7 linked regions of the Oryzias latipes genome follow. The protein of the gene in region 3 interacts with the protein of the main gene of each other region in a biochemical or structural test. Links are inferred from orthologs where the notes say so. Each region holds a gene or a part of one and is shown on either strand. Other genes may lie near its edges. The genes, in order: adrb1, kcna4, snta1, dgkz, adra1d, mcm7 and slc6a3.

Evidence for each region.
Region 1: the proteins of snta1 (region 3) and adrb1 interact in a test that uses a peptide from one of them, tested with the Homo sapiens proteins (2 studies listed by BioGRID and IntAct). The link is inferred for Oryzias latipes from reciprocal best matches to the Homo sapiens genes SNTA1 and ADRB1.
Region 2: the proteins of snta1 (region 3) and kcna4 interact in a test that uses a peptide from one of them, tested with the Homo sapiens proteins (2 studies listed by BioGRID and IntAct). The link is inferred for Oryzias latipes from reciprocal best matches to the Homo sapiens genes SNTA1 and KCNA4.
Region 4: the proteins of snta1 (region 3) and dgkz form a complex in vitro, tested with the Homo sapiens proteins (2 studies listed by BioGRID and IntAct, with this or other methods). The link is inferred for Oryzias latipes from reciprocal best matches to the Homo sapiens genes SNTA1 and DGKZ.
Region 5: the proteins of snta1 (region 3) and adra1d interact in a test that uses a peptide from one of them, tested with the Homo sapiens proteins (2 studies listed by BioGRID and IntAct). The link is inferred for Oryzias latipes from reciprocal best matches to the Homo sapiens genes SNTA1 and ADRA1D.
Region 6: the proteins of snta1 (region 3) and mcm7 interact in a test that uses a peptide from one of them, tested with the Homo sapiens proteins (2 studies listed by BioGRID and IntAct). The link is inferred for Oryzias latipes from reciprocal best matches to the Homo sapiens genes SNTA1 and MCM7.
Region 7: the proteins of snta1 (region 3) and slc6a3 interact in a test that uses a peptide from one of them, tested with the Homo sapiens proteins (2 studies listed by BioGRID and IntAct). The link is inferred for Oryzias latipes from reciprocal best matches to the Homo sapiens genes SNTA1 and SLC6A3.

The regions. Positions count from the first base shown.
Region 1 is NC_019877.2:5,429,051-5,433,105, reverse strand, and holds adrb1 (beta-1 adrenergic receptor), read right to left. Parts: upstream 2,801-4,055; 5' UTR 2,135-2,800; coding exon 944-2,134; 3' UTR 273-943; downstream 1-272. UniProt on the Homo sapiens protein: Beta-adrenergic receptors mediate the catecholamine-induced activation of adenylate cyclase through the action of G proteins. This receptor binds epinephrine and norepinephrine with approximately equal affinity.
Region 2 is NC_019861.2:9,901,504-9,905,432, reverse strand, and holds the start of kcna4 (potassium voltage-gated channel subfamily A member 4), read right to left. Parts: upstream 2,801-3,929; 5' UTR 1,192-2,800; intron 1,015-1,191; 5' UTR 408-1,014; coding exon 1-407. UniProt on the Homo sapiens protein: Voltage-gated potassium channel that mediates transmembrane potassium transport in excitable membranes. Forms tetrameric potassium-selective channels through which potassium ions pass in accordance with their electrochemical gradient.
Region 3 is NC_019863.2:11,975,285-11,979,285, forward strand, and holds the start of snta1 (alpha-1-syntrophin), read right to left. Parts: upstream 2,801-4,001; 5' UTR 2,617-2,800; coding exon 2,331-2,616; intron 2,053-2,330; exon of another isoform or gene 2,014-2,052; intron 1-2,013. UniProt on the Homo sapiens protein: Adapter protein that binds to and probably organizes the subcellular localization of a variety of membrane proteins. May link various receptors to the actin cytoskeleton and the extracellular matrix via the dystrophin glycoprotein complex.
Region 4 is NC_019864.2:26,852,474-26,856,636, forward strand, and holds the start of dgkz (diacylglycerol kinase zeta), read right to left. Parts: upstream 2,801-4,163; 5' UTR 2,724-2,800; intron 1-2,723. UniProt on the Homo sapiens protein: Diacylglycerol kinase that converts diacylglycerol/DAG into phosphatidic acid/phosphatidate/PA and regulates the respective levels of these two bioactive lipids.
Region 5 is NC_019859.2:14,271,719-14,274,840, reverse strand, and holds the end of adra1d (alpha-1D adrenergic receptor), read left to right. Parts: intron 1-1,356; coding exon 1,357-1,907; 3' UTR 1,908-2,622; downstream 2,623-3,122. UniProt on the Homo sapiens protein: This alpha-adrenergic receptor mediates its effect through the influx of extracellular calcium.
Region 6 is NC_019868.2:6,634,083-6,636,317, forward strand, and holds the end of mcm7 (DNA replication licensing factor MCM7), read left to right. Parts: coding exon 1-88; intron 89-179; exon of another isoform or gene 180-286; intron 287-477; exon of another isoform or gene 478-570; intron 571-834; coding exon 835-944; intron 945-1,282; coding exon 1,283-1,508; 3' UTR 1,509-1,735; downstream 1,736-2,235. UniProt on the Homo sapiens protein: Acts as a component of the MCM2-7 complex (MCM complex) which is the replicative helicase essential for 'once per cell cycle' DNA replication initiation and elongation in eukaryotic cells.
Region 7 is NC_019874.2:11,899,132-11,902,631, forward strand, and holds part of slc6a3 (sodium-dependent dopamine transporter), read right to left. Parts: intron 2,443-3,500; coding exon 2,342-2,442; intron 492-2,341; coding exon 324-491; intron 212-323; coding exon 140-211; intron 1-139. UniProt on the Homo sapiens protein: Mediates sodium- and chloride-dependent transport of dopamine. Also mediates sodium- and chloride-dependent transport of norepinephrine (also known as noradrenaline). Regulator of light-dependent retinal hyaloid vessel regression, downstream of OPN5 signaling.

The sequences.
Region 1 (4,055 bases), on a different chromosome or scaffold from region 3:
GAAGACAGGGTTAGATGGAGAAAGCTGATTGGCTGTGGGAATCCCTGTAGGGAAAAGCCGAAAGGAAAAGAAGAAAAAGCTGTTTGCTAATTGATTGACCCTGATCCAGCAGTCCTAATCCACGCATTGAAAGCATCACCTGATGCCATATACATTTCAAATAAAATACCTCTTCTATTCTTACTTTGTAGCTGATGAAAAAGGAAAATATTCAAAAATATGTGGAGAAGTTTAGTGTCATTGCTCCCTGGAAGGAAATAAAAGCTCCAACATTTAAGAATGAAACCATCTTTTATTTTCACAGAAGCACCACCTCATAACAGCATTTAAAATAAGAGAGACAGACAGTCAGAGAGGCCCAGTTTCCTCCCTTTAGTGCTTAACACTTCATTATATACAATCACCTGTCCTTCATTTCCCAGCTGAAAAAGACAGAGTAAATGCAGAGCTATTTTACATCATGTTTAATATAAACAACAACATGTCATACAAATTGCACTTGTCTTTGCTGTGAGGTAAAACACATTGTAAGAGGAATTGAACACTTGGACAAAAGGTTTTTGCTCATGAAAAGTGCGCATCAGCCGCCATTTACAGATGAACTGTTGTACTTCGTTAAGGTGGAGCAATATTTTTTTTTCTCCCCTTCTCCAGAGAGGAGAGAAGAAAGTTATCCCACGGATTTATGATGAAACATTTTCTGCTTAGGTGTTCGTTCTTCCTCCATGAAAGGAAGATTTGCGTTTTAATTAGTCAAAGTGCAGATTTATATAAAATAAATCGTTATCCGTCGGCATTGTGAATTGATTCAGATGGGAAATTGCAATAAAAAAATTCTAGCTAATTTGGAGGATGACTTTTACGCACAGCTTTTGAGAAAGAAGGATCATCAAGTTATTTCTGTTTTGTTTTTGAGTTTCCCATAAGAGTGCATTAATCCACCTCACAGCTGGGATTCAGATCGCGGCAGCTTCGTCCCCACCAGGATGCTGTCGCTGCTGTCCAACACGGCGCAGTCGGACCACATCTCCAGCGTGCCAGGCTCCAGCGCTGACACGAACCCGCCGGAGCAGCGCGTCAGGTCGCAGGAGCTGATGTGCAGCCTGCGATCGGCTTGCCTCGGGCAGCACAGCAGCCTCTTAAAAGCCTTCCTGAAGTCCGGACTCCGGCAGTAAATAATTGGGTTAAAGGCAGAGTTCACGTAACCCAGCCAGTTCAGGAACACGAAGACGTTCTTGTCCACAAGCTCTGCGCAAAATACGCGCACAACGTTGACTATGAAGAAGGGCAGCCAGCACAGAGTGAACGTCCCCATGATGATTCCCAGAGTTTTCAGCGCCTTTTGCTCCCTGAGCGCCAAGATCTTTGAAGGTCTCTTCTTGCACTTGGAGGTCAGCCCTGTCAGGGTGTTGTGAAACCTGCCCTCACACTTGTCGATCTTTTTGAGCTGCTTTTTCGCTTCTCTGTACACGCGTGCGTAAACAAAAATCATCACCACGAGAGGAATGTAGAAGGAGATAACGGAGGAGGAGATGGCATATGCCCTGTTGGTGACAAAGTCGCAGCATTGGGGGTTTTCGTAGCAGTCCGTGTCCATGCTGTCGCGGGACCAGTGCATCAGGATGGGGAGGAAGGAGACCAGCGCAGAGATGGCCCACACCACACACACCACCGCTTTGGCCCGACTTTTGGTTAACAAGCTTTGGTAGCGGAAAGGTGAAGTGATGGCCACGTACCTGTCTATGGCGATTACGCACAGGGTCTCTATGCTGGCGGTGACGCAGAGGACATCCACAGAGGTCCAGATCTCACAGAAAAAAGAGCCGTAAAGCCACAAGCCGCGCACCTCGAGCACAGCGCCAAACGGCACAACAAGTAAGCCCATGATGAGATCTGCACTGGCCAGCGATACGATGAACACATTGGTGAGGGTCTGCAGCCTCTGCGTCCTGGCTATGGCCAAGATCACCAGGATATTCCCAAAAACAATGGACAGCACAATCAAAGCCATCACCAGACTCATGCCTGCTGTCCACTGCTCGGACGCGGCTGGAACGGTGCCCTGCCCGTTGGACGCCTCGGTTCCAGTGCCGTTGTGGGGGGTCACTGGAGAGGACGCGCCGCCGTCCCCCATGGCGCGTTGCTGCGCTGCGTTTGACAGCAGGGTGAGTTCATTCAGGCAGCGCGCAGCAGCCGTTTCCTTCTGCTGCGCTCGACAGAGACGCAGCTCCAATCCCAGCGCGCGCAAACTCCATCTGGAGCTGCTTTCTTCTTCTGCGCTTGATGCCCCCCCAGCGGGGACTGAAACACGGGTGACATCATCAATCAGTGCGACCAATCAGGCAGTCCAGTGGAACAAAGGTCCCAGTGGATCAGAGGAGGCAACATCAACTTCGGCCTCTTTTTTGTATCATATTTCTGAAAATAAAACACCCTAAAACGCACCACTTTATGTTTGTTACTTACTAACACAAACTGTCCCTGTTTCCTGAAAAAAAAAATTCCAGCACTGTGGGAACACCAGGCCAAAAGTGAAAATCCAGAGGGATTTTCCCGCTTTCATCACCCTCCATGGCAAACCAGATTTGTTGTTCCACATTTATATTTTTACCTCCAGAAATGCTTCCCTTGAGATCGACTCCCACCTTATCAGAAGCCATAAAGCTACGCTGGGTTTGACTGGCAGTCAGAATTCCCAGATTCCTTGTCGACAACCTCTCTTCTCCTTGTCCACGGGCTGAGTGGTTCAAATGAACATGAAGAGCTCCAGATGGGAACTGACTGAACGGCAAGCGTTTAAAGTTTAAACACCAAAGAAGAAGCTGGATTTATTTCTGGACCACTCCTCATGACCTCTGTGACCCCTCGTCTGAAGCTGAAACATGACATCAACCATGAAGCAGTCTTAACATCCCTCAAGTGACCCTAAGATAGACAGACTGGTTGTTTTTGAGAAAATAAACCTGGGAAAGCTTATTTTTATCATATTTAAAGTGACCTCATTGCTGGAAAAGTACTTTCAATCTAAATCCACATTCAGGAGTCATGGGTTAGACCCCTTAAGCTCAGGGGCCAATTAGAGGCTTTCCTTGTTCTTTTGGATTAGTTTCACCTCAAGTGAATGGTTGGTTGGGAATCATAAACTCTCAAATTCTTCATTCAGCTCCAATAATAAACACCAAAATATATTTCTGAGGACCATTTTAGAATTTTCCTATTTTGGTCCAAAGAGAAGCGGCAAACGCAGGACTCTGTTCACAGTCCTCTGTCCACAGTCCTCTGTCCTCAGTCCTCTTAAGACAAATAGTCTTACGTTGAAAGCTTGTTGGTTAATTTAGTCAGGTTTGACAGATGACATTCATAAACAGAGCTATATCATTTTATTTAAGACTAAAAAACCCCAGTTCACATGTGGAATAATTGCAAGAAAGACATTAAAAATTGAAAATATAAAAAAGTTTTTAAAACAATTGTAAAAGGGTGATATACGCAATAGAAATAAAGGAATAAATAAGATTCATTGATATTTACTTTCTTCCTGAAAACCTTCTCTGTTTGTTTTCAGTCTCAACCTTTTGTAATATGCAAAAAATACAGTTTGTATAAATATAAACTTTAGAGACTGAATTCAGATCAAATTATTATTTATTTTAATTATTAATTATTTATTAAAATGTAATAAATAAAAAGAATCAAAAAAAACTTTTAGAGTCTTTGGTATGACTCGGCCTGGATTTGAACTCACAACCTTCCAACTGAAAAAAAAGGGGACTTTTAATGTTCATCCAAATCCCTTTTTACAAACTTTAAATATTGTCAATCATTGTTAAATTTCTGTTTATGCTGTTTAGGTTTTGTTTTATCAGCTGAAAATAAATACATAAAAAACATGATAGAAATGGTTCTCCAGCTATTTATGGTCAAAAACAGTTGACGTTAACAACAATACTTTTTATTATATTTATTGCACGCTGATTGTAAATGAACAACCACCATTTCGATCTTTTATGACAAAATCTTTAAAACTATCCGAACCAGAAGCCTATTATTTCTTC
Region 2 (3,929 bases), on a different chromosome or scaffold from region 3:
CGTCTCCACCGTCCGACGCCGCGCTGCTTTTTCCGCTCTCTGAGAACTCTCTGCTGCTGCTGCTCGGGATCCTGCTGGTGCCAGGAGGAGGAGGAGGGGCGCGAGGCGGCGCCGCTGCTGATGTTGGCGCTCGTTGAGGAGGAGGCGGCGCGAGACTGATGCTGGCGGTTGTTAAGGAGATGAGCGCTCGAGGAGGTGGTGGTGGAGATGGACCCCCCTCCATGGCCGCCTCCTCCTCCTCCCTCCGCAGCAGGGCCCCCGTCGGTCGCCGCCGCAGCAGCCGCCGCTCTGGACTGAGCAGCCTGACGCTCCCTCTCGCGCTCCCTCTCACGCGCCCGTGCTTGGGCATATCCGTACGGCAGGTGACTGTTGCACCCGCCATCCGCGCCCACCATAGCAAACTCCATTTTAAGTCTGTCTGAGCGCTATATAAAACGCCTCAAGGTGATGTGGACGCACAGCAGAGGAGAAAAGTTGGAGCCCGGCGCGCGCAGGGAGGGTGAATAAGGCATGAACCGTTCTGATCAATCAGATGGTCAGGTCAAGAAACATCTGTCTGCTTCAGGTTCAGTGAAGCTACTCACATAATGGGGGTTATGAAGCCCCATCTTCTCATGTTGGTACAAACACTCTAGGATTGCATGACATCATTAGCATCACAAAAAAAAAAATCCAGAGGCCGGTGGAATAGCCTGTTACGCAGACGCTCTGACAAAAGTTGCAGCCCCCCCTCCTCTATATGCACAGCATTATAAATCACCGAGTCAACAAGCTACACCAAAGCAGTCTGTCCGCGGCTTCTCCGGAGCCCATCAGGTGGTTATTTTCCCAGAGATCGGCGCCTAAATGCGTCCTTGGCTCTGCCGTGGTCACCCGATGATGCCATTCTCATGTGCTGGGATCCAAAAATAAGAGGAAAAGCAAAAGAAAAAATGGTACAAAAAATATTGTCTGCCGTATTGTAGACTCCCGGTTAAGCAGAATTACTTTTATTCCTCATGTTTACAGCAGATCCTGCAAGAATAAGGAAGAGGGAGGTGTAAATATTATAGCAAGAAAACTACATACATCATGCAGATTATAAAACTTCATTAATAATATCATTAGACTGCTAATATCGAATAGAAAAACGTCAAAACGAACATTACGCACAGGGTTTCCACATACAAGTGTCCTTTCATCCATACTTACATTTGAAAAGGTGCCAAATCAAACCGCCTCAACACCCAAAACAAATCCGCTGGAGGAGGAGGAGAAGAAATAGGAGGCGAGGATGCACATGTTTCCTCAAATTCCTGTTAGAATTTCTGGACGTTAAAATACCCAAATCCTTCGTCGTGTCCAACCAGCGACCAAAATCCACATCCAGTATATACATCCGTGCTCTGACGCACTCTGGAGATGACACTTTTTTTTTGGCTGCGTCTCGACGTCTTGTCTCAATTCAACAGGATCTATTGGCACTTCGGCCCCCGTTCCTGCAGCATCGCTCACTGTATAGAGGCAACATTCGGCTTTTAGGGGGGGAAATAGGAGGGAGGAGTAGAATAAGGTGTGCGATTAGGGAGTTGGCATTACTGACTGCTCCGCGCAATCCCGGTCAAAAAGAACCAAGGGTGGGGGAAAGTTTAGCAAGGCATTGATGAGGGGGTAAATGTCCCCACGGCTAAGTGTGAGCATCACGCCTCTGTCTGTCTGCCTCTGTATCCCTACCTATGCTCCTGTATCCCTCCCATTGTATGAGTGATGATGGAGAATCTCGGTGAGAAAGTGGTTCCTGCGTCGCAGCGCGCGCAGGCGGTGCTCGGTCCTCCCCCAGTGGATGCAGCGCGTCACTGCGCGCCGTGCTGCAGTCTCAATGCTGAGGCCCCTCTCCCGCTTTACCATCGCTTCTCTCCCCGAAAATAACTATGGCAGCGCTGTCTTTTCATTCACAAAACCACGTGATTAGACCAGAGCGCATGCTTCCTCACGAAATTAGAATTGTACCTTTACTGTTTACCATGTTGGCTCAGAGGAAGCGGCGGGAGGAATCTATTCTTTTTGATGCAGAATTGAAATGAAATGACGGGAACTTTAAAGTAGATGCAAATATCAGGTTTGATATTTTTAAAGCCCGCCAATATCAAGTTTTCCTTCTGAAATTTACACCTTCATTAATCCTTAAGTGTATGTTTATTAGTTTCCTTCATGAGGAAACATCAAAAACCATTAAGGCTCCCTTTGTCTGCTTTCCTCTGAGGTTCAATTAGGGGAAAAAAGAACACCATCTGGTATGGGAGTGAAATTAATTATCATATTATGAGATTGAACATATTGGAGAGTAAATCATGAAATAGACGCAGACAGAGTCAACAGGTAAAACCAATTATGTGAAACAGGAAAATTACTGGCCAAGCATCGTCATTTCTGAAGGTTTGGATTAAGCGATGAATGGACGGAGAGTCTAGTGGAGATTTTATGGACCACCATGGTTCTGGATCCAGAATGACATCTGAGGTTCTCCTACAGTTGGGAGAATGTCTTCTCCAAATAGGCAGCATTACCTGTTTTGTAGAGCTGCAAACATGCAGTTCAGAGGTTAAATGCAGTTGGGCGCATTTCAAAGATTTTTGAAAGAGAAAACAGTAGAAACCAGGGCGACTTTGTGCCACTCCTGATGTTTTTTCAGACTGTGTGATGTACCAAGAGCATTTTAAAGCTTTCCACCGCAAGCATCTGGCCCTCATTGTATGTCTCGCTGAATCTTTGGAAGAAATATGAGTCCATTGCCTTTATGGTGGCCCTGAAGTGGAAATTACACCAACAAATCATTCAATGCAAAAATAAATTAAAGATCCCAACCACAATTTAAAAAGGAAAACAAATAAGAAAAAAAACATTACATTTTAGAAATCCAAAAGAATTTCCACAAACCAAACAAAATAAGAAAAAAAAAGGAAACAAAATAAAAGTGAAATATTTTGGAAAACAAAAGTAATTTCCAAAAATCAAAATTAAATGTTTAAAAAAAAAAACAGAATATGAACCTGGAAAAGGTAGGGACTATGGGACATTGCTGATTGGATGATGACATTCGTTCATCGTTTCGACCAAAAGTTATTTGGCATGAAGCGATACTGGATCTGTTCCGTACTAATCATACAACTTTGATTAGAATGAGGACATTGAAGACGTATTTGAAAAACATAATCACTATCTGGGAATGAAAAAAGTCCTTTTTTGACAGCAATGTAAGTGAAAGGTGCAAGTGTGCAAAGCTGGGCCAAGGTATAATGAAAACTTCATATATGTAAGCAATGCAGTAATCACAGTATTGTGTTTTAACTCTCACATGTGTGTTTTGGAACTCCTCAACTATTTTTCTTACAAAATAAGCCATTAAAAACCCACATTTCACTTTTTCCTAAGCAAGCCTCAATTCAAATTTTGTCACTTTACCTTCTGAAGATTGAACAAAAATAATTTTTGAGTTCTAAATTATGCACTAAGCTTGTTTCTTTTTCATGTCTTAACAGTTTTATGTTATTTTTTCACTCAGAAAATTTAAAACTCTTCAAAATTTCCGTTTCCAGCTCACCAAAGCTACAAACATCCCTGACATTCATTATGCGTTTAGCCTATGGTATCACACTGGGCAAGCAGGGAGGGGCTTCTTCCTCTTTTTTTTTTTTTTTTTTTTTTTTACTGTTTGCTAGCTACTTTTGCATGTTCGCCACCTACAGTTGGAAGAGGCTTGGCGCAAAATGTCAAAGCGGAGCAAATCTTGCGATTTGGGTACTAAACGGTTCGGTTCTTGTTAGCGTCCTTGCATTGGAAGTAGATCCCCCTCTTGTCCGGAGAGTAGTATTGGTTTGTCTTTATTTGAAAAAATAACACATTCGTGGCCAGGCTTGTCGCCATGTCTGGGTTCACCAGATAAACCAACT
Region 3 (4,001 bases):
AATTTCGTTTTAATAGCATGCTGCCCTATTTTAAAAACCCTCCATTTCCTAACAGAAGGACATTGCTTTTATGTCATTAGGGCCTGGCTTTGTTCTGTTGTTAACTGAAGAGGAGGGGGACCAAAGGGAACTTGCCACAAGCAGCTACACTGATGAATACACTTGGCAGCTTGACAAGAGGGTAAGTTTACAATTATCTGTCAAATCAGCCCATCGAGTCGGGCAGCTGTCAAATGATTACTTGTTAACACCAACCTGTTTGGAGGCTGCATCTTAAAAATACAAAACAAATTCCTTTCAAACCTTCTACTCTTGTAGTCTTCTACACACTGCCCGTCAGTAAGAAATCCCCACCTTCACATGAGTAAGAGGAACCTTAAATAGGCACTTCAGGTAAAACTCCACAAGTGATCTTAAAATCAAATTAACCTTGTAAATTTGCCTATTTCTTTCGAGAAAATCTGATGTGTCTGATGAACCCATAAAGTAAGAGTTAAAAAGCTATTTCAACATTCTCAAGACAATTAAGACAAAATATCTATTCACCTGCACCTAAATCCATCATTTTTTTGTTGATATAGCTCTCTAGATCCTCCATGTTTTCCTACAAATGGAGGAAATCTGATCCAGATCAAGAAGCCGTGGGTTCTTGGGTTAGTTGCTTTCCTCAACTATGCTATACAACAAACTGGATCAGTCTAGCTTGCAAAATATGGATCATGAACTGTATCAAAACTGGACTGAGTGACCCATCTCCCCTCACGTTCCAAACAAGAAGTACCCGCCGGCTCCAAGACGCCAAATACTATAGACTTTTAATGAAAAAACAAAACCAGTCTGTTGCTATATTGTCAGAGTAACCATACTTGCTCTGATACATTTTTAATATGTTTTTGTTAGTTCTACTATTTTATTATATATGTTTTTCTTAATAGGAAGTTGTTCAAGTAAAAAAAATGATCAATCAGATGCCTCACTACAAATTAGTAGTGCCTGCTGGCACCACATACTATACTGACTGACTAATAGTTGTTTATTTTTTAATAGAAGTCTGTCGCTGTGTCCGAATTCTTTCACTACACACTATATAGTGCGTTTGCCATTTTGTAGTGCTTTTCGAATCTACAATTCAAAAATCGAGTGCCCTAGAAATTTCCCAGAAGTCTGCGAAAAACCAGTGTGCATCCATGCTCACTAGATTGGCGAATATAGACCACAATGCATTGCATTTGAAATTTTTTTGTCAAAAAATGTATTTACATTTATTTTCTTAAAAAAAATATCAACGTTTTCATCTTCACAAGACAGTGGACTCATAGATGATCATCGCAAAATGCTCATTTTAATTAGATTTTAAATTTGTGAAATCGATGACGTCATATTCGCCTTAAAAAAATCGTAGTGAGCATGGTGTCTGAATTGCTTTTAAAATCCAGGGCACTACATAGTGCTGCAGTTTATAGTTTTTTAGTAGTTAGGAATTAGGGTGGGAAATCAGACATAGCGTGTGGGATTTTGGGTTTTTTGGGACCAGCGGATACTTCGTGTTTGGAACAACAGGGGAGGGGCAACTCAGTCCAGTTCTCATATACAGTCAATGATCCAAACACTTAGATTTCTTTTGATTAAAGGTGTATTTCTGACAACTACAACACAATAAACAACATGACAGTGGATATTCAAAAACGTCCTCAATGTCTCTTTGAGGTCCTATCAGAGGAGTCTAAATGTGGAAGCTATTATCCAAGTGAACATATAAAAAATACAATTATGTATTTATGCTTTACTCCTCAGACTACTTTTTGCCGTATAAATACAATCAAATGTTCAAAAACTGTTATGAAAATGAAAGTTTATTATTAATTAGAAACATTTTAATAGATGAAAAAAAAAACATTTTTGCTCATTAATTTAATTATTAAATGAGCACTTTAAAAAAATAGGTCAGTAAAACAATTCTTTTACTAACAGTTCTTTCTTTTATTTTGTCTAAAAACTGAACTGAGAACACACATCCGGTGACTTTTCGGCGCTGAATAGGTTCGCTTTAAGGTGAGGCTTCGCCCGATAAAAACCTCATCTGTCATCATTATTTATGCTAAATATTGAGCCCTCACTCATACTTTCCTATTTTAAAGACAAGTCTGTGTTTGTAAAGCTACATTCATGACAGTTTTTCGTGAGTTAAGTTAGAAGTTAGCTAACTTATCCGCCGTGTCACGTCGTCGTTGAAAGCCGCCACGCTCAAACTGGAAAACTTGCTACCGACTGCGCAGAAGTCGGTAGTCCTTCTGGTTTTGGACCCCCTCCGGTCCGGACGCCGGGCTTACCTTTGATACTGATGCCCAGTCCGCCCACATCTTGCTTGGTGACCCGCACGGTGCGCTTGACGTTGGTGATGGTTTCTGGGACCGGGGACGAGCTCAGGTTTGGGGGGTCTCCGTTGACAGCACCTGCGGGACTCTGGTGGCCGGGCTTCGCGGGCTCGTCGGCGCTGTCGCCGGGGTTCAGAGTGAGCGCGTCCTCGGTCAGCGTGGCCAGCACCCGGACCCAGCGGTCCACTGTCACTCGAAGTTCCAGCAGTCCCGTTTTCTGCGTCTTCATCGCGGCAGCCATGTTCAACGCATTCCTGGAATAACTCTAGACGGGCTGGCAGCCCTGTGAGAGGGGGTGGAGGAGGGCTGGGGGTATGGGGGCATGCACAGATACACACTCAGGGACACAGCCTCGACTCTGTCCCCCGAAGAGCCCTATCCAGTTGGAAGAAGTCAAGTTAATCGAGGTTGATACGATTAGCGACGGTGTTTGACACACACTCAAAGTTCAAAGAGCTTGTTGAATCTCTCCATTAATCATGATCTGTGTGGGGCTGAGTCCCACATAATTAGGTTCCCCCTCCCTCATTCATTCGGTTAGACATGTATTTCTTGCACAGCCCTGCCTTAGATCAGTGATCTAAGTCCCAATGTCCTCAGCTCTGCACTCATACAGATGTTCTGTCAAAAGGGAAAGAAAGTCTGCATATCCTCTAAAAAGACCACCATCGACTCTCGCACCGGAGCTCATTTTTGGGCATGAAATCCACAAAGAGCCCCCTGTTTGAACATGTCCATTATGAGTGTGGGCTTAACGGACCAAATAAAAGCAGACTTGTTGAGCGTTCACTGGAATATTCATCAGAAAGGGAACTCTTCCGACTTTTCTCTGATGAGCTGATACGACTATGGGTCTTGGCAGTGTTTGGCTTTTAGAACTCTTGTGTAAACTGTAAGTGAGCTCTCTGATCGGTTCCAAAGCAGTCACAAAAGAAAAGTATATAGACTGCTTTGGTTCGTCCAAGGCCTACCTGCAATAGAAACTAAAAAACAAACAAGCCATGGGTGTGACATCACTCTTTTTGATAGATTGTAGAATAAAATTTAAGAAAGAAAGTACAAAAATTCTATCAACACTAGAGTAATTTGGCTTTAGTTTAAAATCCCTTTCAGCTTTACGTCTTGCACCGTTTACACCACCCTCAGCAACACACGTTCAAGCAGCCACGTTCAATGAAAAGTCAATATTCAAAACTCACATTCACGCATAGCTGTGCACATTTTTACACCTGTTTTTAAGTTCTAACTACAAAACCCAGGATTTTTGAACGTGCATTGCAAGTTAAACCAGGTGAAACTTTGATCAGTCATCTACCCTGATTTGTTAGTGATATATAGATGGCGTCACTTTTAGTTCACGGAAGTGCCAACCGTTTGAAAATTTATCGTGGAGGAGAAATTATCAATTGCGGTTTGTGATTGGCCAAAATCATATGACACTGAGCTTTGAAAGAAAAAGCCTGGAGCAAGATTCATGAGATTTCCACCACCTTGACATTTCTCACCAAACCTCCTCCAAATGTAGGTGGTGAACATGCGCTAATAAATTTTAGAAAAAAAGAAGTAGCCCCTCCCTGCTTATCCAGTGTGAACACCTTAGGATAAAAAATGACAAAGTGCTAAACG
Region 4 (4,163 bases), on a different chromosome or scaffold from region 3:
TGGTTGTATAGTTTTTGACGCGGCGCGTCAAACCAAAAAAACAAACCCGAGGCGTTTTTTTAAAAAATAACGCTTTTACGCGTGGCGTTTTTCGCGTCGGTGTGCACACTCACATTGGTGCCCCTTGTTTAGTCATGAGGCGTTAAACGTCGGTCCCGGTGTGTACAGGCCTTTAAAATGTGAAAAACTATATAACATACATTAAAGATGAAATTTCTCATAAAATATTGATTGTAGCATGAATATGCTGACAAGTCTTCATTACCAACTCATATAAATGTAGACATTTATTCATTTTTGAGAGATTGATTTTCACAGAATGATGTTTTCACGGAAGTTGCACTTTGTTGACGGTCCCTTGGCAGGCGCCTTGCTGCATGTCTGCATTTACAGCTGGAAAAGACCATTTCTAATAAAAGTGCAGAAAAGAAACAATCTTTTCTTCAGAAATGCATTTGTAGTTCTCTCTCTGTGTTAATACAAAATGATTGAGATACTTGCTGTCACATTTGATCGTTTATCAGAAGATTGAAGCAGGAAGTCCCAATCTGTGAAGATCTTTCTGACTTTACCAAGTTCTCTGAGTCCTGCACTCTGATTGGTTGACTCCCTCCTCCCCCCCTTGTTCCAATATCGGACACAGATCAGTTTTGACACAAGTATCTTGCAAGGAATGTATCAAAAGTCAGGGTGCAGTTGTAACGCACAAGTGATTTGCGCCCATGGATTGGAGCACATTTGAGCAGTTGTAATCACAGATTTGAGACTGTAACTCTAAATGAATACATGCAAATGGGAATTTGTCGGTTCTGATATTGTTTGTCAGACTTTACAGCACAAGATTTTTACACACAGATGCAGATGATTGGTGCACACGTTTTCACAGTTCTCACATCAAACCTACAAGCTCGTCCATTAAGACACATTTTTACCTTCATAATTTTTCTATTGACAACCCCATCTGTGTTGTTTCTATTATCTGCCTTCTGTTATCTTTTCTGCGTTGATTTAACTTGTCTTTTTACTTCGAGACCATCAACCTGTACTGTAGGAACTAAAAATGGAAATTAGACTAAAAGGCTATAATCTTATATATTTCCTCTTTTTAATTAGGATGATTTAGTTTTTAGCCTAAATCAAAAAAGCCTGTGTGGTTTTCTAGGACATTGTTTCTGCAGAGCAGCAGTGGTTCTTTCGAAATTCCCCTCTTAATTGTGGGCGGGACTGTTTGTGTGGAAGTAAGCCTCAGCTGATATCTCAACATCCCATTGTTAACACTCTGCACTGCTAGCTTACAGCCCCTCACAAATAAAAACCAACATTCCCAGTGAAACAAAAATGACGAGCAATCTTGGAGCTATCCAGCTGTACAGCTTTGAGCCAGATACCAGCTCAGATCAGGAAAATGAAGATGTTATGCATCTATTTGTCTGCAAGTGGATGCATCAGGGCAGTGTGACTTCTTAACCTGTTGTTTCGTTTCAAAAGAGAGCTTCTTTCATCTGCACCTAAATTCACAACGATTTGAACAAAGAAATACTCACAAGTGCAGTTTTAATCCTAAATTCTTTCATAGATGTCATCCAACATGTTAAAATCACCCAAAACATGATTTTCATTGATGTGCGTCTTTCAACTAAGATTATTTTGCTGTTGAAAAACTTTTCTGTTTATTTTTATAGCAAGAACAAAAAAAAAAAATTCTTGAAAAAAAAGCTCCTTTTACTTTTTTTTTACACTACGTTGTTAAGCAAAAGACAGTAGAATGGGCTTTAATCTTCTTCTTATAACAATATATTAAAATCTAAATAAATCTAAATATAAAAAGGACAAAACTTAATTAGTTTAAAAAAATTAACCAAAACTGCAAAGCCAATCTTTTTTATCATTATTAGCCATTTCCTTTAAAGCTAAGGAGCCACAAAAGAAGGGATGAAGCCACAAATTGCTGAGGAAAACTGTTTTTAGATCACCCAAAATAAAGGGACGTAATTTCATAAATAAAAAAATAGAACAGAGTCACACGGCCTGCCCATTAAGTTTTCTTTTTTACCTTGCTAAGTAAATAAAGATGTATTTGAAATGACTGGAAAAGTAATGGGTTTTTTTTTTCAGTTTACTCTCCAGCACTGTCAATAATTACAGGTGGACGTAACTGGTTAAAGTTTGACTCAACAGTTTATTTTTTCATTTTGCTCCAAGTTAATTTTTTCTTCTTTTAACCCTGTGTGTCTGGATGGGCTACCAGGCTGTCGAATCACTCAAACAGCATGAAGACATCTCGTCATCTCCAGCAGTGACCTGTGGCCACAGACGGCCAGAAATCATGCTGAAACGAAAACTGCCTCTCTGGAACAGATGTTCACCATACTCATGGAGAAAAGGGATTTTCTAGTAAGATTTTAATTAAAATAATCTGTTTTAGTCCATTATTTATCCAATATAAGGGATTATTTCCTAAAGTTTGGAGACTAAATGCAAACAGATGCTGGGATTTTTTTCTCTCTGTATCGCTTAGAATGCAGAGAAATAGTTAGTAAATTTGAAGTCAGGTTGACAAGAAGCAAAACCGAAATGCAAAGTTCAAAGCAGCAAAACACTACAGGAGTCAGACTAATCTGAGCTAATCTGCCTCACTCATCCAGAGACAGATCCAGGAACAAGGACTGAGAAGGTCCAGCAGGTCCAACACAACACAAAGCGAGGAAGCAGCAGAATACAACCTGAGGAGGCTGAGGAGAGCAGCTCCAGCAGAGATGAAGAGCAGAAACACACTGAGGCACTAAGTCTCCCACAGAAAACACACACTCACTAAGCTGCCGTCAAAAATAACCTCTCAGCAGAAAAACTGCTCTGAGTTCAGCTGCACGCCGCTGACCCCTGCTGGCCACCCGGCCCAGCTGACCCAGGATCAGCTCATCAGCAGGCAGCTTCAGGCTTTGTGATCACGCACTTCAGCACAGCGGCAGACATGAATGGAGCCGCCGGCCGCCCTTCATTATCACTTCAAGGCCCATGGCTGCTGCATTATGGATCCAATTAGAAAGAAAAATGACAGGAAGCAAAGCTGCATGTTAAACTGACACTGAGCTCTGACTCACCAACACTCACCAACAGACTCTGAAGGACTCACAGCCTGAGCACACGACCACAGGACTCACCAATCAGAGCCGCAGCCTGGAGCCTCATCTGGAGATCTCCAAAGAGCAACTGATGTGGAGCCGAAGCAGCTTCAGATCAATCACACATCCAGAGGAGAAAGCAGCTCTAAAACAGCTTAAGCTCCAGAGAAGATCCTGGTTAACTGAACCTCCAAAACCCAGAGAAAAATCAATGCTTATTACATATTTGTTACCGATACTGTTAACTGAAATTGTGAATGAATGGTTTCCGAAGATAATCAATCATTTTGTTACTTGAAAAGAATCTATCGGATCAGAACCGGATTACAAAAATTAAAACTAAAAAATGAATTAACTCAGTAGGGGTGGGATTATATAAATTCGCTTCTTCCCACTTCTTTTCAAGCAATAAATCAAACTCTACTTGACTTTAGTTACTGATCACTGTATTTAATTAAGCAAAATGTAATTTCAGTGACTTTTTTGTTTTGTTTTATTTTCTGTCTTATTAAACTATGCATTTCAACATTTCTGTAATGAGTTTGATGAATATGTGTAAATTCTTTATTGCTTTGACTACATTGCTTGAAATAAATCAATAAATCAAAACGGAAAAACAGAACCCAGGCTGATGTAGAAACAGCAGAAAATCCTACAAACAAGAAGCCCAGAAACTTCTGAATGCTCATTTATAAAACTCAACTTTCAAAATGTAAAACTGAACATTTTTAGCTATCACGAAATTTAAACCGTTAAAAACAAACAATCCAAATGTCTCAGAACTGTACAGGAGGAGCCATGCATGGAGTTGGGATGAAACAAGGAACTGAAATAGACAAGCCGACTGTGACAAACACCAGCAGGTCTGGTTCTGTTATCACGAGTCCTGTGTTCGGGTCAGATGAACAGTCTTCAAACCAGAAAACACCTGAAAACACCTAAAGACCTGAGTGCTGCAGCAGCAGCATTGAGATCCACCAACATCCCACATGAGGCGGTTCAGCTTCAGGAACCAGAACATGTTCTAGAACAAACTCATCT
Region 5 (3,122 bases), on a different chromosome or scaffold from region 3:
AGGTGAGTGACGGCAGACTTCCACACAGGTGACCTTCGTTGGGTAAATCCTGAGACAGAGAGGCAGAACATGAGAGCAAGGCAGGACAAAGACATGGGACTTGAGCAGGCTGACCAGGCGTAGTCACCGTTAGGAGTTAACGAACTGGCGTCGATGAATGGGCTGGATCTCCTTAAGTGTAGGCAGGTTGATGAGATGAGGTGGTCACAGCTGGTGGAAGTCAGGAGCAGAGCTGAGGGGGCGGGGCTGACCGAGGCACCGTGACAACCCAAAGTCAATTCAGTCGTCATCTTTTCACTATACAGATGCCGTAATGTTTAAGCCAGATGACGTCAGTAATTAGTGATTGTTCTGAGTCAGTCTGAGTCATCATATGTGTGGCAACCACTCCTGCTAATCAGGAGTGAGCTTGTTGCAAGGCCGCCCCTACCATTTGAAAGCAGACTCAGGAGAATCTGTCACACCTTTCAAATGTGCAACGTTAGACCACAAACTTCAATGGAGGCCTCTGATTGGCCAGTTTATAATTAGAATAATTTCCACTTCAGAATAAAATATGAAAAAAAGAAATATGATTAGCAAGAACTGAGTAATGACTAAGTAATAGAATTGTTTTCGTCTGTAGAAGTCTATGGGATTTTGGCTTCTTGGAGCCAGTGGGTACCTTCTATTTGGAATGCGAGGGGGCAGGAGTCACATTGTCCAGTTCTCATATATTATCATTGGCAAAAACCCATAATTTATAACCAATACTTGCGTTTTGGTGTAAGTAAATGCGTTTGTGATACGAGCTATAATGGCACAAACAAGCATTAAAAAGTGTTTCCTCTTAGAGTGTCTGTTATTAAAAATGTCACCTGATGACCCTGACAGGTTGTTACCATGCACCTTAACAGTTTTAAAAAGTAGGTTTAATATGCTGCTTAATATTTCATTACCTCTTATTTTTACAGGCCTCAGCTCTTAAGAGTCATATTTCTGATGAACAAAATGTCCTTTTGCTTTTGTTAATAAAAATGACCAAACTTTGAAGAAAAGATTACCCAAAAAATTAATATGAGGCTGTTGAAGATTTAAAAATAAATAACTAAATCTGGCAAAATACCATAATAGGTTGCTTTGCTGGTAATGAGGTTGATGGCAGAGGACCCACTATCATCAATAATTCCAAAAATAGAAACTTTTAAAAAATTTAGATCATGGTTTCTTTATGACTTATAAAATATTTAGATTAAAAAAAAAAAGAACTTATCTGAATGAACTATCCAACATGTAAATCTAATGTATAAAGTGTCCTTACTCTGCAAAGATTTGGCTTCAGTTGATGCTAATCCTCATGTTTCCATCCCTTTCAAGGTTCCGTCTTCCCAGCACTGAAGCCCTCTGAAACTGTGTTCAAGGTGGTGTTTTGGCTGGGATACTTCAACAGCTGCATCAATCCAATGATCTACCCCTGCTCTAGCAAAGAGTTCCAGCGAGCATTCATTCGACTGCTCAAATGCCAGTGCCATCAAAAGCGGAGGGTCCTGCGCCGCTTCTATGACCAGAGGTGGCGGACAGCTGTGAAAGGAATGGCAAGGGATCAGAGGGGAGAATACACACCTGGCTATGCCGTGCATGAATCATGCAGCAGCTCTTTATTGCATAAGAAGAAAGGTTGTTCACTCGGTTTAAAGAGATGGAGCCTTTTTCCGCCTCTGCAGAACTCCTCCTTTCAGTTTAAGGAAAAAGTCAACAATCTGTCCAACAAGATCAAGGGAGGGACAGGAAAAGGAGCCACACCTGGCGGGGGCAGGAGGGACACTGTGGACACAGTTTCAATGGGAATCTGCAATTCTTGTGAGCAGGGCAGTTTTCAGTTCTATGATCTGGCAGAATGTCACGGCCTGAAAGAGACCGACATTTAGAGTTCTCCCTGCAGAGAGTTATTTATTTTCAAAGTGGCCATTCTTAAACAATGTGCAAATAAGACTGTGAGCAGGCACACATTCTGAGAGTTTCACAAAATTATCTAAAATTCTTCACTATGACTTTTCTTAAAATGAAATATTTTGTGAAAGCCAGGTTGTGGAGATCACAACAGTAGCAAACCTATCAGACTGGTTGTTGTGATTTTAAGGCACCATGTGTCTGTGTCATAAAATCAGTGTTTGGATTAGGTACAAAAGAAAAACACAATGAAAAACTAGAAAGAATGCACAAAAAATTCAATTTTATTTCCTTTTGTTTGAATAAAACTGTCTTTTTGGTTTCAAAGGTTAGTGTGTTGACCCTATGTGATGTGGAAAATGATTTGCTTTATATTTTTTTTTTATTTAAAGACAGTAAAGCATTTTATTGACAAGACTGCTGAGTGCAATTTCTATTGTTTGTATCAAATGTGATATCAAACGTGAAATTTCACACTGGACTCAATTTGATCATGTGCATTCTTTAACATTTTGAGAAGGTTTTGTGAGCAAAAAAGGTTATCGAAGAATGAAAATTCTTAACTTGATTTATTTTGTAGGATTCATGGGGAACAATGAAGTAAAACTTGTAAATCCAAATAAGCTCTAATGTGAAATACATGTACTTTTTTGATGCTATGATTATGAATAATAAAAGCTAAATAAAAAAAAGGTAAAGAAGTCCAATTAAATCAGGATTTTTGTTCAGACAAAATACACCAAAGCACCCTGTTTAAAACATAAATCTGCCCTATCCTGAAGATAGGGCATGCACAATTCTTCCCATTGGTTCCTCCTTACCATTAAATCCAACCAATACATTTTTTTATTTTAAAATAGAGTAAATTCAAGACCTGAATGTGTCAGAGATTTTCTAACAAAACCTCAATACTGTGGGAATTGTACAACCAACTCTTTTTAGCTGAAGCTGCAAGAACAGAAAGGGCATTATCAATCAATCTTAATCGCTTCCTGTTATTAGGTTGATCCTAGCAAGAGTACTCTGATCTTTTTCTGTCCAGAGGGGGAGGAGTCAGGCTCTTACTTTGCAGTCACTTGAAATTTTTTACTGAAACCAAGACTAACATATAAAAAAACAGGTTAAATTGATAAGGGAAGTAAAACAGAATAAATACCAAGCAACAATGGACATGTTATTTGATATTAGGGCAG
Region 6 (2,235 bases), on a different chromosome or scaffold from region 3:
GATGAGGAAGGAGGCCAGAGTCAGCAAAGACACCACCTTCACCTCTGCTCGTACCCTCCTCTCCATCCTCCGCCTCTCCACCGCCCTGGTGAGGACATGAAAAACCTGTGACACGTCTGCTTGGCAGGAGCTCCATCGGACCTCTGAGTTCGCTCCCTTCAAAGTCTTTGGAGGTTTATGCTTTCATTAGCTGCCCAGCATGAGATAAAGTGCTTACAGTGCAGGTAGTGATCAGAACAGTCTACTGCAGTGTGAGCACTTCTCTCCCACGCTGGTCCAAAGCGCCTCCGTTTCTCTGTTACCTCTCTGACAGTCGTCTGTGGTTCTGCCTCTGGTTACCAAAAGTGCTGTTTGTGCAGGTAGAAGTCACCAGCTACTGCAAAACCAGCACTTCAGGTAAACTGATGGACCGTCCACAGGGGGGCGCTGCAGGGTCTCGATGAGGAGAACGAGCGTTTGAGACTTCTGTCAAGGATCTTCTGGTCCTGGCCAGCTTTGCAGGGTGGGCAGTCAGCCTGTGCATGCCTGGAGCAGCTGTGCAAACCCATGCAAAACTGACTATGGCCAGCACTGCCATCTATGCCTTCTACATGAAGTCTACATGGTTTTATTTTTAATGTCCATGTGCTTGTTTGACCTGTGGAGAGATTAGCTGGTGTTGAGAGGCGGAGACTTGGGCAATTGCCGGGCATCCCAGAGGGCATTGCACTTGTCTCGGTCTGACAGTGCCGGCACAGCGCAGCCTCCGTCGACGCGGTCCGGTCAGATTAAGGAGTGCCGGCCCCTCAGAACCCCCGTCTGAACCCCGCCCGCACTTTCTCTGCTCGTTTGCAGGCCCGGCTTCGCATGATGGACACGGTGGAGAAGGAAGATGTCAACGAGGCCATGAGACTCATGGAGATGTCAAAGGATTCGCTGCAAGCAGACAAGTCCAGCGCGACGAGGTTGGTATCAAACATTACAGAGCAGAGGGTATGGTACAACCACTCCAGTAGCCGGATCCCTTTAGGGTTTTCTTTTTTAAATAGGAGTGTCTGTGTGACCTGCAGGAAGCTGTAAAACCTCCAGGTTTTTACAGCTTTGTGTTCGGTTTCCTGTTCACTTGAGCAGGCGCTGATGTCATGTTCACACTTCAGCCCAGATCTCACACTGGTGTGGTTTTCTTTAGCGACATTTCTGACCCTTTTCTTGTGCTGTATTGCTATGCTGGTGGGCATTCTGACAGTGATGCATGCTGGGAATGCTACCAAGGCTGTTCTGACTGTGTCCTCTCCCCTTTCAGGGCCCACCGTCCAGCTGACGTCATCTTCTCTCTGGTGCGGGAGCTGGCCACGGAGAGCGCGGCGGGTCGCGGCGGTTCTGGCGGCGTGGTCCGCATGGCTGAAGCGGAGCAGCGCTGCGTCTCCCGGGGCTTCACGCCCGCTCAGTTCCAGGAGGCTCTGGAGGAGTACGAGGAGCTGAACGTGTGGCAGATCAACCAGGCGCGCAGCCGCATCACCTTCGTCTGAGCGGTCCCTTCCATCTTCAGAGCGAGGACTCCCTCTGAATGTGGTCATAATCCATATGTGTCGCCGCTTTTATGGTCCTGTGAACGGCCACAGTGCTTGTAAATATGTACGTCAGAAGTTAGTATTTGTTTATTCAGGTCACAGCTCCTTGCATCAGTTGATGCAGAGCTTCTCTGTACATTTATAATTGCAAATGTTAGAAAACTATAATAAACCTTTCAAATCTGTGTGATGGTTGTTTCTCTCCAGTGTTTGTTTTAGGTTACAAAACTCAGAAATGGTAGCCTTTATTTTCTTTTTTGTATTAGTTTTCTCTGTAAAACGGGGAGAAACTGAACTGCAGGCAAATCTGGAGCTCAAGCAACAAAGATTTGCTTTAGACAGTGGAATTATGGGAAAAGTAAACAATGCATAAACAAGGCTTCAGGACAGACGGGGCTGTCAGTGTCTGTGATGGACCAATCTAAGTGAGCCAAAGGAAAATGCTCAGAAGTACGATTCTATTGAATAGATTTATTTATACACTCTCAAAACTGGGCCCCAAAGAGAGGTAAACGGAGAACATCAATGGAGGCGATTAACCAAACACTAACCTACTGAACAGACAGGTTGGTGCTCTTGCATGGTCCTGGTTCAGTTCTCAGCTGGGATCTCTGTGGAGGGGATTTTTCTCTCTGGTCTCATCTTTTGAAGTGGAACAACTTCCACAATTGGTGGCTGACTAAAA
Region 7 (3,500 bases), on a different chromosome or scaffold from region 3:
ACAAGAACATGTTAAGGACACCCAAAACTATTTTCATCGGAGTGGCTCTTCAACAGGGGAACAACATTCTTCAAATAATCCCTTGCAGTGATGTGATATTTAGAGTGTATTGTGATACGAGGAACAAGGGAACACTTACAGTGAACTGCCGAACTTCCCCGTTGTCCACTAGATGATGCTCTGTTTCAGGGGTGATGGCATAAGCTAACCTCTGTTAAAGAAAAGGCAGTTAAAGCCCCTCTTTGAGCAAAAACCGACCAATGAAGAAAGCTCAATAGCCCACTTTACCTTCATGTTTTTAGGAATACATCTTTCAAACTTACGTGGCAAAACTTTCCAGGCAGTGTGCAGAGTTTGTAAATGGCATAGAGAGGAACCATAGTCATGGAGGACATTGCCAGACACCACCCCAGCATGTTAGCCCACGGCGGGAACATGTAGGAGCCGTAGTTTGGAGGGTTGAACGTGGCAAAGCTCACAACAACCATAAACTAGAGAAAAAATGTCATGAAAACATGTGTGCTTTAAGCTTATTCTCACAATAAACATCTCTGACAGTAGACCAAACATTTCACCATAATTTTTATCTGACATTTTAAAAATCAAAGCATGAATGGCAAACTGTATCCATAAACCAATTATTTTTTCTAATTGTTTGCATTTCCCGCAAAGCCAAAGAGCCACTAGAAATGTCGAAAAAAACACAATTTAGCAATTACACCGTTTCAATTAAATCATGAGTGCGAATAAACCAACTCACACCATATGTCATTCAAAAACATGGCGACGGATGTGAACAATACTTTGATTTACAGCAGATTCAATTTCCTGCCACACTACTAGCGCTCATCATCTACCAAAGGAGATGTTGGGATCATCTGCAGTGGCAAGTACACTTGGAGACGGCTACAGATGAAGCGAGTTGGGGAAAATGTGGTTGGTGATGTTACAGATGAGCTGTGGATCCAACAATTCCTCATGACAAGCTCAACTTTTGATGAGCTCTGTGACCTATGTGGCGCCCGCTGTGCAGTTTCTACCAAGAAGCGCATTGCCATCCGGTTGTTGGTCACAAGACTCATTTCATTTAATTGTGGGCCGGCCGTAGTGCAGCGGTAGGGCGGTCGACCTATGATCGTAAAATTGCAGGTTCGCTTCCAGACTTGCACACCCATGTGTTGAAGTGTCCTTGGGCAAGACACTGAACCCCACCCTGCCTCTGGTGAGAGGTTGGCGCCAGTGTTCGGCAGCAGAGTGTGTGAATGTGTGTGTGACTGGGTGAATGGGTCTGTGACTGTAAAGCGCCTTGGGCCTTTTAGGTAGAAAAGCGCTATACAAGTGTACGCCATTTACCAATTCATGTTTCCATTGCAGTTTTGCAAAATGTGTCAATTTCAATATGCCTAAAAAAACCCACTCCCTTCAAGAACAAAAGGTTTTCCGAAATTGTTGTGTTTTCCTTAGGCAATTTTATTTCATAGTCAATGGAAATGCAGCTAATGAGAGATAAAAGAGCCACAAGTTGAGCCTGCGACCTGACATGGGTAAAAAAATAATGAATTTGTTCCCACAAAATAATAATTCACGTGATAAGTCATTCTTAAACACGGATGTGAGCAATACTTGGATTTACAGCCAAAACCTTCACGTTTCTGTCTGTGTTTATCTCACTGCATTGCATGGAAGACACAGAGGATGTTTAGAGATCGGATTTATTTATTTTAAAAAGCTCTACAAAAGCATTGGTAATCCCGTCTCCATGTCTAGGTTCATTCACATCACGGTACGCATTCTGTGCTGCCGCAAAAGCCTCATTCTGCCGCTACTTCTGTGTCTCTGTGACCCACACTAATTCAAAATGGGAAAAATAAAAACAAGAATCAACCTAGGGGATCTTTTTTATCATTTTCTCTATGAAAATAAGTAAACGTTTTTTACCTGTTGAAAATACGGGGTGTGTAAAAGGTCACAATTATTACAAATTACTATTTATTTTTGTACCGATGTCAGGTAATTAGTAGCTTTGAGTTTGTGTGGAAAATGGACAAAATTTGCTAAATATTACTGGTGAATTTGCGGGCATTACCCATTTACAGGTAATAAGACAAAAGCAAACTGTGGAATCATGTTCAGAACTACATTCATACTTAAATTGAAAATCACTTTCACAGTAGTGACTTTCTAACTTCCATAGACTTTGTGGGAAATGCACTACTGACAAATTGCCACTGTCATGATGGAAAATATGAATTAAATATATTAACACAACATTCACATTTCTACCCTATCCACTTATGTTTTTCTTTATTGTCTTCCCTTGTTTGTGGATAGTATGACTCACCAGAAGGAAGCATGGGCTGACAAACTTCCAGCAAAGCCTCCAGTACCTGCCTGGTCGATGCCCAATCATCTCCTTGATGTCGTCGCTAAAACGATCAACACCTCAAGCAGAAATAAAATATAAACTTAGGCACTCAGTTAAAGCAAATATTGTCTTATGCAAATATTAAAAAAGAATATATCCATATTTTGGTGCATTTTTCCAAAAGCTGAATATTTTAGGATGAAAATATGAAAAATAAAATTGGATCATTACAAAGTTGAAAGTCTATACCATCAAGCTTTTTCCCATCCAAGTATCTTTTTTTTTCGTTTTTGTGGTTACCTGAATCAACGGCATCTGTCATTGCAGGGGAATATATCTTTACTGACGACCAAGTATTCAACACAGCTAAATGAGCTTTAGCAGAGTGAAAGACCACAGCAGTCATGGGGTCAAAGGGTATTTACCGGTAGTTATGAAGATTGAAATAAAAGGCCTACAGACACTCCCTCCAGGACCTGGGTTTGATTTATCTGCCTTGCCAAGGTCAGGACCCACCAAAGTGGGGCAATATGCCGACTCCTTCGCCTACGGCCTTCTTAGTATTTGGGCCCTTATCCACCTCTCTACCGTCAAGCTCAGATGACACGAGAACATACATTTCTTAAAAAAAAAAAAAAAAAAAAAAAAAAAGAAAACTCCTGATTAAAGTTCCGGTCAGTTGTTCTCAAAGACCTTTACTTTGATTTTTTTTATACCCTGTAAGTGTTTATAAGTTAAGGGTAATACTTTTTCTCCCATGTTTTAGAATGTTGAGGTGCCATTAATCTGTAAAAACTCTTCCCTCCTGCCTTTTAAATTTTTTATCACTTCGCAAAATCCGTCACAGTTGATATTATTCGGCTAGTAGCTCGTACTGGACTGCCTGATCCTTCGTCGCAATTTTCTTTTTGTTGTAGCCTCACCACTGCTGAGTGAGCACAGATGTCGGAGTGGTAGAAGTCAAAATTTGTTACATTTGTTCCCTTTATCAGGACCACATCAATAGCACCGAAACATTAACCTCACGGAGTTTTGGGGCAAAGAATGAAGAAGCCCAAACTATTGGAAGAAATAGACCTTCTAGCTGCAGCACACTTTGATCTAATAGCACCAGACTGAACTGAAGCACAGAACA